Ovis aries: one gene and its partners. The protein of the gene in region 1 interacts with the protein of each later gene in a pairwise test. Links are inferred from orthologs where the notes say so. Each region holds a gene or a part of one and is shown in the gene's direction. Other genes may lie near its edges. The genes, in order: HSPB1, FXR1 and WDR83.

The links.
Region 2: the proteins of HSPB1 (region 1) and FXR1 interact in a two-hybrid assay, tested with the Homo sapiens proteins (2 studies listed by BioGRID and IntAct). The link is inferred for Ovis aries from reciprocal best matches to the Homo sapiens genes HSPB1 and FXR1.
Region 3: the proteins of HSPB1 (region 1) and WDR83 interact in binary tests that used the Homo sapiens proteins (3 or more experiments, as listed by UniProt). The link is inferred for Ovis aries from reciprocal best matches to the Homo sapiens genes HSPB1 and WDR83.

Annotation. Positions count from the first base shown.
Region 1 is NC_056077.1:34,787,874-34,791,308, forward strand, and holds HSPB1 (heat shock protein beta-1), read left to right. Parts: upstream 1-1,210; 5' UTR 1,211-1,260; coding exon 1,261-1,612; intron 1,613-2,343; coding exon 2,344-2,407; intron 2,408-2,505; coding exon 2,506-2,695; 3' UTR 2,696-2,820; downstream 2,821-3,435. UniProt on the Homo sapiens protein: Small heat shock protein which functions as a molecular chaperone probably maintaining denatured proteins in a folding-competent state. Plays a role in stress resistance and actin organization.
Region 2 is NC_056054.1:206,905,596-206,909,244, reverse strand, and holds part of FXR1 (RNA-binding protein FXR1), read left to right. Parts: intron 1-376; coding exon 377-448; intron 449-863; coding exon 864-1,012; intron 1,013-1,244; coding exon 1,245-1,338; intron 1,339-1,985; coding exon 1,986-2,102; intron 2,103-3,396; coding exon 3,397-3,567; intron 3,568-3,649. UniProt on the Homo sapiens protein: mRNA-binding protein that acts as a regulator of mRNAs translation and/or stability, and which is required for various processes, such as neurogenesis, muscle development and spermatogenesis.
Region 3 is NC_056058.1:11,122,416-11,126,164, reverse strand, and holds the start of WDR83 (WD repeat domain-containing protein 83), read left to right. Parts: upstream 1-1,457; 5' UTR 1,458-1,499; coding exon 1,500-1,602; intron 1,603-1,684; coding exon 1,685-1,805; intron 1,806-1,889; coding exon 1,890-1,995; intron 1,996-2,246; coding exon 2,247-2,295; intron 2,296-2,377; coding exon 2,378-2,504; intron 2,505-3,749. Other genes in the region: WDR83OS (PAT complex subunit Asterix), read right to left, coding at 1,060-1,109. UniProt on the Homo sapiens protein: Molecular scaffold protein for various multimeric protein complexes. Acts as a module in the assembly of a multicomponent scaffold for the ERK pathway, linking ERK responses to specific agonists.

The DNA of each region.
Region 1 (3,435 bases):
CTAGGGGCAGCATCTTTTCCCAGAGCGGGTAGTGGGGGCGTGGATCTCACAGGCGGTCAGATCGGAGGAGGGGCCGGCCTCAGGCTCCAAGCAAGTTTGAAGGAATTGCCCCCTCTCCGTCTGCGGGAATATTCAACAGAACAGGATCGAGGTAATAACCTGCCAACAGGGAAAGGAGCATTGGCCCAAATCACACAAACAGCAAAGCCCTGACTAGATTCAAGGTTGCTGCATTTCAAGTTCCCCTGTCTAGGGCTCCTCCAGAAAACTAGATATAATGGGGAGACTTGACCATAACCTTCTTCCTGACCCCTTCTCAGTACTGGCCCTCAAGGTTTGTGATCTGAGTCTACTCCACTGGGGTTCAGTGGGCAAATGGCCAAACCTACACATACCATTGCCTCTGCAACAGGGACACATACATGCTTTCCTTCTTGCCCCCTCCTTCAACTTCAGGGGCTAATAATAATTATAGATAATATATTATCTATATATATTATCTATATATAAATATAGATAATATATTCATTATCGTGTACCCTGGACTAAAATGTTTACTTGCATTGAGGCTGAATCTTCAAACCAACCTAGCGATGAAAGCATTATCATCACCACCATCATCCCATTTTCCCGATGGGGAAACTGAGGCAAAAGACTCTGAACTTGCACAAGTTCATCCAGTGAGTGGCAGAACCTGCATGTGAACTCAGGCGGTCTACCTCCCGAGACCGCCCTAACCACGCTGCTTCTTAAGGCATTATATCACAGACACACTGCCTTCCAAATCCTGGCTCGCTCTGCCAGTTCCTAGTTGTGCGCCCTGGGACTCACTGCTCGACCTCTCTCTCTCCCCTTGGGACTCACTGCTCGACCTCTTTCTCTCTTTCTCTCTCTCCCTCTCGGCTTTGTCCTCCCCGACTGTCCACAGATAGAGGCCCAGCGCTTTAGCACCCAGGCCTCCGAGCGTCCAGCAGTGGGCAGTGCTCCGACATCGAGGCTCTAGTCATTTGTTTTCTCGAACAAGAGAAGGTTCCAGATGTGGGCAGGGCCTTCCTCGCCCCGCCCCGCGCCCCGGTATGCAGTGGAGGGGAATGCAGGGGGAGGGGCTGCCCCCTGGCCCGTCATTGCCATTAATAGAGACCTGAAACACCGCCTGCTAAAAATACCCGGCTGGAGACCCATAAAAGCGCTACGGGGTCCGGCGCCCGCCACTTCTCCCGCTTCTCCGAGCCTACTCCGGACGCACCCAGACTAGCCAGCATGGCCGAGCGCCGAGTGCCCTTCTCGCTCCTAAGGGGCCCCAGCTGGGACCCTTTCCGCGACTGGTATCCGGCCCACAGCCGCCTCTTCGACCAGGCCTTCGGGCTGCCCCGGCTGCCCGAGGAGTGGTCGCAGTGGCTGAGCCACAGCGGATGGCCGGGCTACGTGCGCCCGCTGCCCGCCGCAGCGATCGAGGGTCCCGCCTACAGCCGCGCGCTCAGCCGACAGCTCAGCAGCGGGGTCTCCGAGATCCAGCAGACCGCCGACCGCTGGCGCGTGTCCCTGGACGTCAACCACTTCGCCCCCGAGGAGCTGACGGTCAAGACCAAGGACGGCGTGGTGGAGATCACTGGTAAGCACCCCCTGGCCCCCGCCCCAGGGACGCCGGCCCCTCGCCTCTCGCGGGTCCCGGGGAAGAGCTCTGGGTTGAAACATGGGCGGGGAGCCGGGAGAGGGGGCCGCTGGAAAGTGAAAACTTAGCCGAGGACGGGCGGTGGGGGGGAAGGCGGGGAGCCCCCAGAGCGGGGCCCGGCCTCTTCGCCCTAGCCCTGGTCTGTATTCTCTGGAGTTGGGGTTTGCTGGAGTTCCTAAGGGATCTTTTAGCCCTAAAAAGTCTCCACTAAGGAAAGCAACGCCCCCTTCCAGCGGAGACTCCCCTCAACCCCAGCCCTCGGACCTGAGGACCTGGCCCCCAAGGGACCAGGCCCCCCCGCCACGCCCCACCCACCCGGGCCCGCAGTCGGTATGAAGAGGGCGTCGCCCTCGCCGCCCTGCCCCCCATGCCCCCCACGTCACGGTCCCTGCTCCCAGCCCGGGTCCGCGGAGGGGGCGTGTGCGCCTGCCCCGAGCCGCGCTTCCACCCCCACCCCCCACTCGCCAAGCCCCTGAACCCGAACTTTCCAAAAGCTTCTGAGTTCCCCAAAGCTTCTGAGTTCCCGGGACAGTCTCGGGCACCCAGATCCCTCCGTCAGTCTTGCCAGCCCGGAGTCCTGGCCCGCAGGTGGGGCGCGCTGGGCTGCGAGCCAGCGGCTAGGCCGCCCCTCCCCGCCTCCTCTGACCTACTTCCCCTCCCCCTCCTCCCAGGCAAACACGAGGAAAGGCAGGACGAGCACGGCTACATTTCCCGTTGCTTCACTCGCAAATACACGTGAGTCCTGGCTCCGGATCTGGGGGGCGGCGGGCGGGAGAGGGGCGCGCGGGGACGCCCTGGTGTGTAACTCTTGTCCACCCTCTTTGCCCGTCCAGGCTGCCCCCCGGTGTGGATCCCACCCTGGTCTCCTCCTCTCTGTCCCCTGAGGGCACACTCACCGTGGAGGCCCCGTTGCCCAAGTCAGCTACCCAGTCTGCCGAGATCACCATTCCCGTCACCTTCCAGGCGCGTGCCCAGCTTGGCGGCCCCGAAGCCGGAAAGTCCGAACAGCCGGCAAACAAGTAAAGGCCCTTTGCCCAGCGGCCCACCCCACAAGTAGCCATCACTGACCATCCTCACCCGCCAAACCTCTATGTTCTTTTGATACGTTTGCCTTCTGTTTTTCTCAAATAAAGTTTGAAGCCACTGCCCGCCACTGCCTCAGACCCTGCTGGTTTTGTGAAGGAAGAAGGGTTGGTGCTGGTTTGATGTTTGCTGAGGGCCCGCTGGGCACCAAGCCCCAGGCTGGGTCCTGTGGGTGCAGTATCATCTGTCACTGGGCACAGCCCTGCCCTCCTGTACCCCTTGTTCATTAAGAGAGAAGCAGTGATTGTTCACCGGAGTTAAAACGCCCAGGGCTGGAGGGGGAGCAGGGGAAATTATGAGAGGCACTTGACCCAGGCTTGGGCACTCAGGAACCACCTGGGCAAGGGGGCAGGTGAGGGAAGACAGGGCAGGGCTGGGGGAGAGGGCTTCCTGGGAGCTCAGATTCCTGACTTCATCGTAGAGGGTTTGGACCAGGTAGATTGGAGGGGAGGTGTGGCCACCCCTGGCGGCTTTCTGAGGGGCGATTCCCCCAGCCCAGCCCATGTAGGCAGCACGGGACCTGGGTCCTCAGGTCTGAGAGTGCCCCGCAGAGAGTGATGAGCAGGTGTGGCTTAGGTTTTGGTGGAAGAGAGAGGCAAAGACCTGATGTGGGAAGTAGTGGCCGCAGGAGGGCCTACCTTGCCTGTCCCTGCCAGGAACGGCCACGCCTGCCTTGGCCC
Region 2 (3,649 bases), on another chromosome or scaffold:
TCTTGACCTACATACAGGTTTCTCAGGAGACAGATAAGATGGTGTGGTATTCCCATCTCTTCAAGTGTTTTCCACAGTTTGTTAAGATCCACACAGTCAAAGGCTTCAGCATAGTCAATGAAACAGAGGTAGATGTTTTTCTGGAATTTCCTTGCTTCTTCTATGATCCAGTGGATGTTGGCAATTTGATCTCTGATTCCTCTGCCTTAGGCATATATAGTTCTTGTTACATTACGCTTGTGTAGCAGTTTCATCTTGTTCACAGTAACATTTTTTGATTCTTGAATTTAACATAATTTTGCACTTATAAAAAGTCATTATTTACAGTGTTAATCTTTTGGGATAAATGAATAAGGGCACTTTTTTTTTCTGTCAGGTATATTCAAGAGCAAATGATCAAGAACCATGTGGATGGTGGTTGGCTAAAGTTCGAATGATGAAAGGAGAAGTAAGTTATGTTAAAACTTGCTTTGTGATTAATTTTCAAGGAAATAAGTTGACTCTTGGTTTCTGTAACTGTTACTCCAACTCTTAGTTTTGTTGTTAAAAAGCCTATTTCAGAAATAATCATGTATTTCAAAAATTCATCAGATCATTCATTTCTGTTTGTGTTCTGGATTTGCAAATACCAAAGCTGCTCTCCAGAGGTATTTTGCAAGCATGTGAGGACCACCAGAGTTCTTGCTTGTAAGAACCTCCAATCTAGTTTAGGCAAATCAGGTTGATGTAACTAAGCTGTGCTTAGTACTTGTGCCACAAGGGGGAGGGTCTACTGCTTAATCCAAGCAAAGTAATTAGAACTTCATTTAAAGGTCATTATTTTTTTTTGGATGGGATTTTAAAAGTGTTTTGATGTCTTTTAGTTTTATGTCATTGAATATGCTGCTTGTGATGCCACTTACAATGAAATAGTCACATTTGAACGACTTCGGCCTGTCAATCAAAATAAAACTGTCAAAAAAAATACCTTCTTTAAATGCACAGTGGATGTTCCTGAGGATTTGAGAGAGGCGTGAGTAATTTTGTTTACTGTTGAATTGCTTTGTGAATTAAGGGGATTTTTCAGTGCAACAAAAATCTTTTTTACCCCAAACACCCAATTAAAACTTTGACAGAAAATGTTTTTAAACAGACAAAAGTTTTCAGTGGGTGGTGTCAGTATGAAATACAAGAGTTTTCATTACAATTGCCCTCTAAATTTAACCTGTTGTTTCGGTCTTAAACGTGAATTACTCTCTCCTTAGGTGTGCTAATGAAAATGCACATAAAGATTTTAAGAAAGCAGTAGGAGCATGCAGAATTTTTTACCATCCAGAAACAACACAGCTAATGATACTGGTAAGATGACTCCATATTTTGAGGTATATAGTGAATATTGTGAATCTGCCTGCAATGCAGGAGACCCAGGTTCAATCCCTGGGTGGGGAAGATCCACTGGAGAAGGGATGGCAACCCACTCTAGTATTCTTGCCTGGAGAATTCCATGGACAGAGGCACCTGGCAGGCTACAGTCTATGGGGTTTGCAAAGAGTCAGACAGGACTGAGGGACTAACACTTTTCACTTTATTAAACTGTACATTGTACATATTTTATAATTATTTCAAAGATAAAGGATAACTTGTTTTATGGTGACTTTATTAGAATACAATGTGGGAGAAAAAAGTTTTTGCAGTTATAAAATTGTTAATTTTAAATCTTTCCTGGAGAAAGGAGGAAAAATCGGAATACAGCTTTCTTTACGTCATAAAATTCTTAACGTATGGGATCCGGGATTCTATATCCCTCCTCCCCCCATCATAATTTGAAGAGCAGATCTAAGTAATACGGAAATTAAAAAAACAAGTAAGATTATTTGTGGGAGGGGGTGCATGTTAGGTAAGGAGAGTACAGTAGATGAAAATCAATGGAGGCTTTATTTGGAAGGTTGTGTTTGTATTAAAAAAAAGGGTTTAAGTTTTTGAATTAGTAACTTATTTGTTTATAGTCTGCCAGTGAAGCAACTGTGAAGAGAGTAAATATTTTGAGTGACATGCATTTGCGAAGTATTCGTACAAAATTGATGCTTATGTCCAGAAATGAAGAGGCCACTAAGCATTTAGAAGTAAGTGGGTTTACATGTAAAAGATTTTTTGTGCTTCTCATTTAGTTTCCCGAGTATATTATTCAAGTTCTATGGCTGAAACTATATGACTGTTAGGTAAGGCTACTTGGGAACTATTTTATGGCTAATAACTGGAATTATTGTGTCCTTAGAGTTACTTTTCTCTATTACTTTTATCAAACATAGCCTCTTAGCTGCTAAATACCTGAATGGTGCCAAAGCTTAGAAACTCAGTAGGGATTTCCAGTAGAACTTTATTGCTAGTTCTTTACTCTGTTTTTTAATTGTCCTGTGAGCTATCAGTCAATGCACTTTATTAGTAACTAGTTCATTAGTATAACAACTCTTGGGTAAGAAGAGAGGAGGTCACATGGCTTGTAGTTTTAAAAAAGAGCCTGTCATTGCTTTTCTCTGTTCTGTCCTGAGGTACTCCTGTTTTCTTCTACTTTTTACTGCCACATTGTTAGGTGATTTGTTGCCCCTACTCCCTCCCACACATATATGTGCTCCCACGCATAGTCTTAGGGAATTTGAGGTTTGTTTATCTTTAGGACAAGTACATGAGTGCCCTTAACTAATTTCAAATTTCCAAACAAGTGATACGTGAATGAGTTTTGAAATAAGAATCATTTGAGTTGGAGAGCTCTGTGTGTGAGTAGTTCTGGAAAATTGTTTTAGAATTACTGTTTTCTGTGACCATGATTAAATAGAATGATCAGACTTCCCCCTTCCATTACATGACCAAGTGAACTACCTTTTTTCTTTTTTCCCTTTTCTTTTTCTTAATTGTAGTAGAATAAACATAACATTTACCATCCTAACCATTTTTAAGTGTACAGTTCATAGTATTGAGAAATATATTCACACTGTTGATCAGTCAATCTTCAGAACATTTTCATCTTGCAAAACTGAATCTCTCTCTCCATTTAAACAACTTCCTATTTCCCTTTCCCCCAGCTCCACACCACCACCATTCTACTTTGTGTTTACAAATTTGACTACTCTAGATAACCTTTTTGTAAGTGGAATCATATAGTATTTATCTTTTTGTGACTGGCTTATTTCACTAAGTATAATATTCTCAGTTTGTCCATGTTGTAGCATGTATCAAAATTTTCTTTTTAGGGCTGAATAATTCTGATTGTGTGCATATATCACATTTTGCTTATCCATTCATCATTCAGTGGACCTTTGGGTTGCTTCCTCCTCTTGACTATTGTAAATAATGCTATGAACATGGGTGTACAAAAATTTTTTTTTGTCTTTTATAATACTAATTTGCCTCTTTTACTAGTGCACAAAGCAACTTGCAGCGGCTTTTCATGAGGAATTTGTTGTGAGAGAAGATTTGATGGGCCTGGCGATAGGAACACATGGTAGTAATATACAGCAAGCTAGAAAGGTTCCTGGAGTTACAGCTATTGAGCTAGATGAAGATACTGGAACATTTAGAATCTACGGAGAGGTATGCTGCTTGTCCCCCACCTTGGGTAATTTTACTGTAGCATATTAACTGTTGTCTGGAATTTTAGTTTCTGTGTGGAATA
Region 3 (3,749 bases), on another chromosome or scaffold:
TAAAGGAAATCAGTCCTGAATATTCACTGGAAGGACTGGTGCTAAAGCTGAAACTCCAATACTTTGGCCACCTGATGCAAAGAACTGACTCACTGGACAAGACCCTGATGGTAAGAAAGACTGAAGGCGGGAGGAGAAGGGGAGGACAGAAGATGAAATAGTTGGATGACATCACCGACTGGATGGATGTGAGTTTGAGCAAGCTCTGGGAGTTGGTGATGGACAGGGACGCCTGGTGTGTTGCAACCCATGAGGTCACAAAGAGTTGGACACGACTGAGCAACTGAACTGAAGGCACTGTATTCTCCCAGAAGCTTTAAATGCATAATCACAGCCACTAATCATCAAGCAAAAGATCTCCCTATGACTAGAACATCAGAAAAATAACAAGAGAATAACCAACTCAGAGACTGTGAACCTGAAGCCAGCAAGGACCTGTGACTATCACAGGGGTTAACTATGGATAGCATGCAAAAGAACAACAAAAACTAAGAGAACCTCAGAGTAGCAGCTGAGAGTGGCGCTCATGCCTTAAGTTTTGATCACATCTCTCAGTTAGAGAGACTCTGATTGGGAGGGGGGAGGGGGGAAGACAGGGAGGATTGTTAAAAAGAATACCACAGGTCCAAAAATTTGTACTTGGCCAAGCTACCAAATCGGGGCTTAATATCTAACCTAATAGAAGCTTCAACTTCCTCCAGAAATGCAGTCTTAATCGGTCAGTCACGAATTTTCTGGTCAGCACCAATGAGGCAGTCACTTAGGTTCTCTCCCCTCTTCATCCTTCAAAAGGAAAATGAGGTAACCTCCACCTAATAAGACCCTTTTCTCCCCAAAAGGAAACTAATATAATCTGAAATCATCCTTTTTTCTGTTTATGACTTCCTTGTCCTGCCTTTAAATAACCTTTTCGTTTCTGTAGCTCTTTAGCGCTTCCCTCTACTTGCTAGATGGGATGTTGTCCAATTTATGATTCATTTGGTAAAGCCAATTATATCATTCAAGTTTACAGCTGAATCTTTTTCTTTTTTTTAACACCATGACAACTAGGAGCCTCACCTCAGCACTTTGTTGGGCCTCCGTGGGTCCGACATACTGTTCGCGGACATAGCGAGTCAGAAGTCGCGCCTCTTCCGCTGCGGGAATCGCAGCTTCCGGCAGCTTCCAGCTTGGAAACACAGGAAAGTTTTTAGAGTAACACTCTCAGCCCTCGCGCTTCCGTTCCTATCGACGGTTACCGGAACTACCCCCAGCCAGGGGACAGAGAATTCGGAGAAGCCAAAAATGCTCCTAGAAGACCAGAAGTGGGGAAAGAAACTGGGAAGCTGGAGACAAGTTTCAGTGTTTCCAACACTATCTCCAAAGAGCCTAAATGTAGAACCCGGAAGTGAGAAGTAGGAAGTAGACTATGGAGGACAATAATAAGGTTACACCCTCCCAGGGCAAGGAATGCTTCCGTGCCGGTGCGTGTGAGGTGGCGAGGAAGGGAAAGCCGAGGGATGGCTTTCCCTGAGCCCAAACCGCGGGGCCCCGAGCTGCCGCAGAAACGGTTGAAGACGTTGGACTGCGGGCAGGGGGCGGTTCGAGCTGTGCGATTTAATGGTGAGCGCCCTGATCTTCTTTCCGAGTCCTCCTCCCGCCTCCTAAGGTCGGCGGCCCAGTAACCCCGCCTGGTGTTCCCCAGTGGATGGCAATTACTGTCTAACTTGCGGCAGCGACAAGACCCTGAAGCTGTGGAACCCGCTACGGGGGACGTTACTGCGGACGTACAGCGGCCACGGCTACGAGGTGCTGGACGCGGCTGGGTGAGCCGGGGGGCCAAGGCGGGATCGGGGCGCTGAGGCCAGGAACAGAAGCAGATGCTAAATTTTCTATGCTCTGCCTTCTAGCTCCTTTGATAACAGCAGTCTTTGCTCTGGAGGTGGGGACAAGGCGGTGGTGCTGTGGGATGTGGCGTCAGGGCAAGTCGTGCGGAAATTCCGGGGCCACGCGGGGGTGAGTGCAAGCAAGAAGGGGTCTCATTAACTGATTTGCATGTGGGTGGTAACAGGGATCCGCTCTCTCCCCCCCCCCCGCAATACAGCGCAAGTATCCTTCCCCATGGCCCCCGCTTCATCAAGCCCCATCCTTGCAGTTCCCCCCAACTCTTTGATCTCCCCTACCCTTAACCTTTTTCCTTTGCTTTAACTTGCACTGGGAACCTTGCTTTTGTCCTCATCCTCTAAGTGGCAGTTCCTGTTTCGCAGAAGGTGAACACAGTGCAGTTTAATGAAGAGGCCACAGTTATCCTGTCTGGTGAGTCCAAGGCCTTGTTAGGTGGGCCCAGGAGACTGTCTCTGCCCCCTAAACCTGATCCACCTTCATGCTGGCCTTACAGGCTCTATCGATTCCACCATCCGCTGCTGGGACTGTCGCTCTCGGAAACCTGAGCCAATACAGACCCTGGACGAAGCCAGAGATGGTATATCCAGCGTGAAGGTGTCAGACCATGAGGTCCTCGCAGGGTGAGTGGGACCAGGACCTTGTCGCTCACCAGGTGCCACTGAGGTTCAGAGCGGTCTCTGTACTTAGATTTAAAAATCTACTCTCCTCATTGTGCTCATAAGGCCCTGCATGGTCTGGTCTCTGTTGTGCTCTCAGCTTTTATGTGGTTGTTGTTCAGACGCTAAGTCATGTCCAACTCTTTTCGACCCCATGCACTGTAGCACTCCAGGCTTCCCTGTCCTTCACTATCTTCTGGAGTTTGCTCAAACTCATGTCCGTTGAGTCAGTGATGCCATCCAACCATCTCATTCTCTGTCGCACCCTTCTCTTGCCCTCAGTCTTTCCCAGCATCAGGGTCTTTTCCAATGAGTCGGCTCTTGGCATCAGGTGACCAAAGTATTGCAGCTAATTTCTGTTAAATATGCCACACATGCTTCCACTCTGGGACCAACATGCAATTGCCCTTTCTCCACCTGGACCATTCCTATACTACTTAGAGTGTGTCTGAGTACCTCCTACAGGTCCCATTTTTAGTCAGTGGGCATACAGCAGTGAACAAGACAGAAAAACAAGGAAAACCCCTGCCTACATAGATTTGACAGTCTAGCTGCAGGAGACAATTTAAAAAAAATTCCCATGCAGGGCTGCCCAAGTGTTGCCACAACCTGCAGGAGTGCTAATCCCACCACTTGGGGTGTTTGGACTGCTTGGCTTGTCAGCCCACCCAGTTCCCACACATCCCCCCTTGAACTGAACATGGTTGGCTCCTTTCTCAGCCTCAAGTCTCAATTCCAATGTCACCTCCTGGGAGCTGATGCCCCTCAGTCAGTGAGGTTCCACGTTGGCAGCAAGTGCTCCTGTCTTGGTAGCAGCTGTGTTCCAAGTCTCTGCACAGGGTCTGGCCCAGAGAGGGAGCTCAGTAGAAAGCAGAAATAGATGGAATGGGACTTGATTGGCCCTTGGGTCTGAGTCTTAAAGCCATTGCCTCAGAATTCCACTTTTTTTTTAATACTTATTTTTAATTTACTTATTTGGCTGCATTGGGTCTTAGTTGCAGCATGTTGGATGGAGTTCCCTGACCAGGGATTGAACCCAGGCCTCCTGCATTGAGAACTCAGAGTCTTAGCCACTGGACCACCTGGGAAGTCCCAGAATTCCACTCTTGAGTTCACTTCAGTGTATGTTTTCCGTGGCCGATCCTAAGCATGACGTGACAGTGAAGGGTACTGGGAAGGACAGGTGCTAGCCTTGCCCTCAGGGCCCTG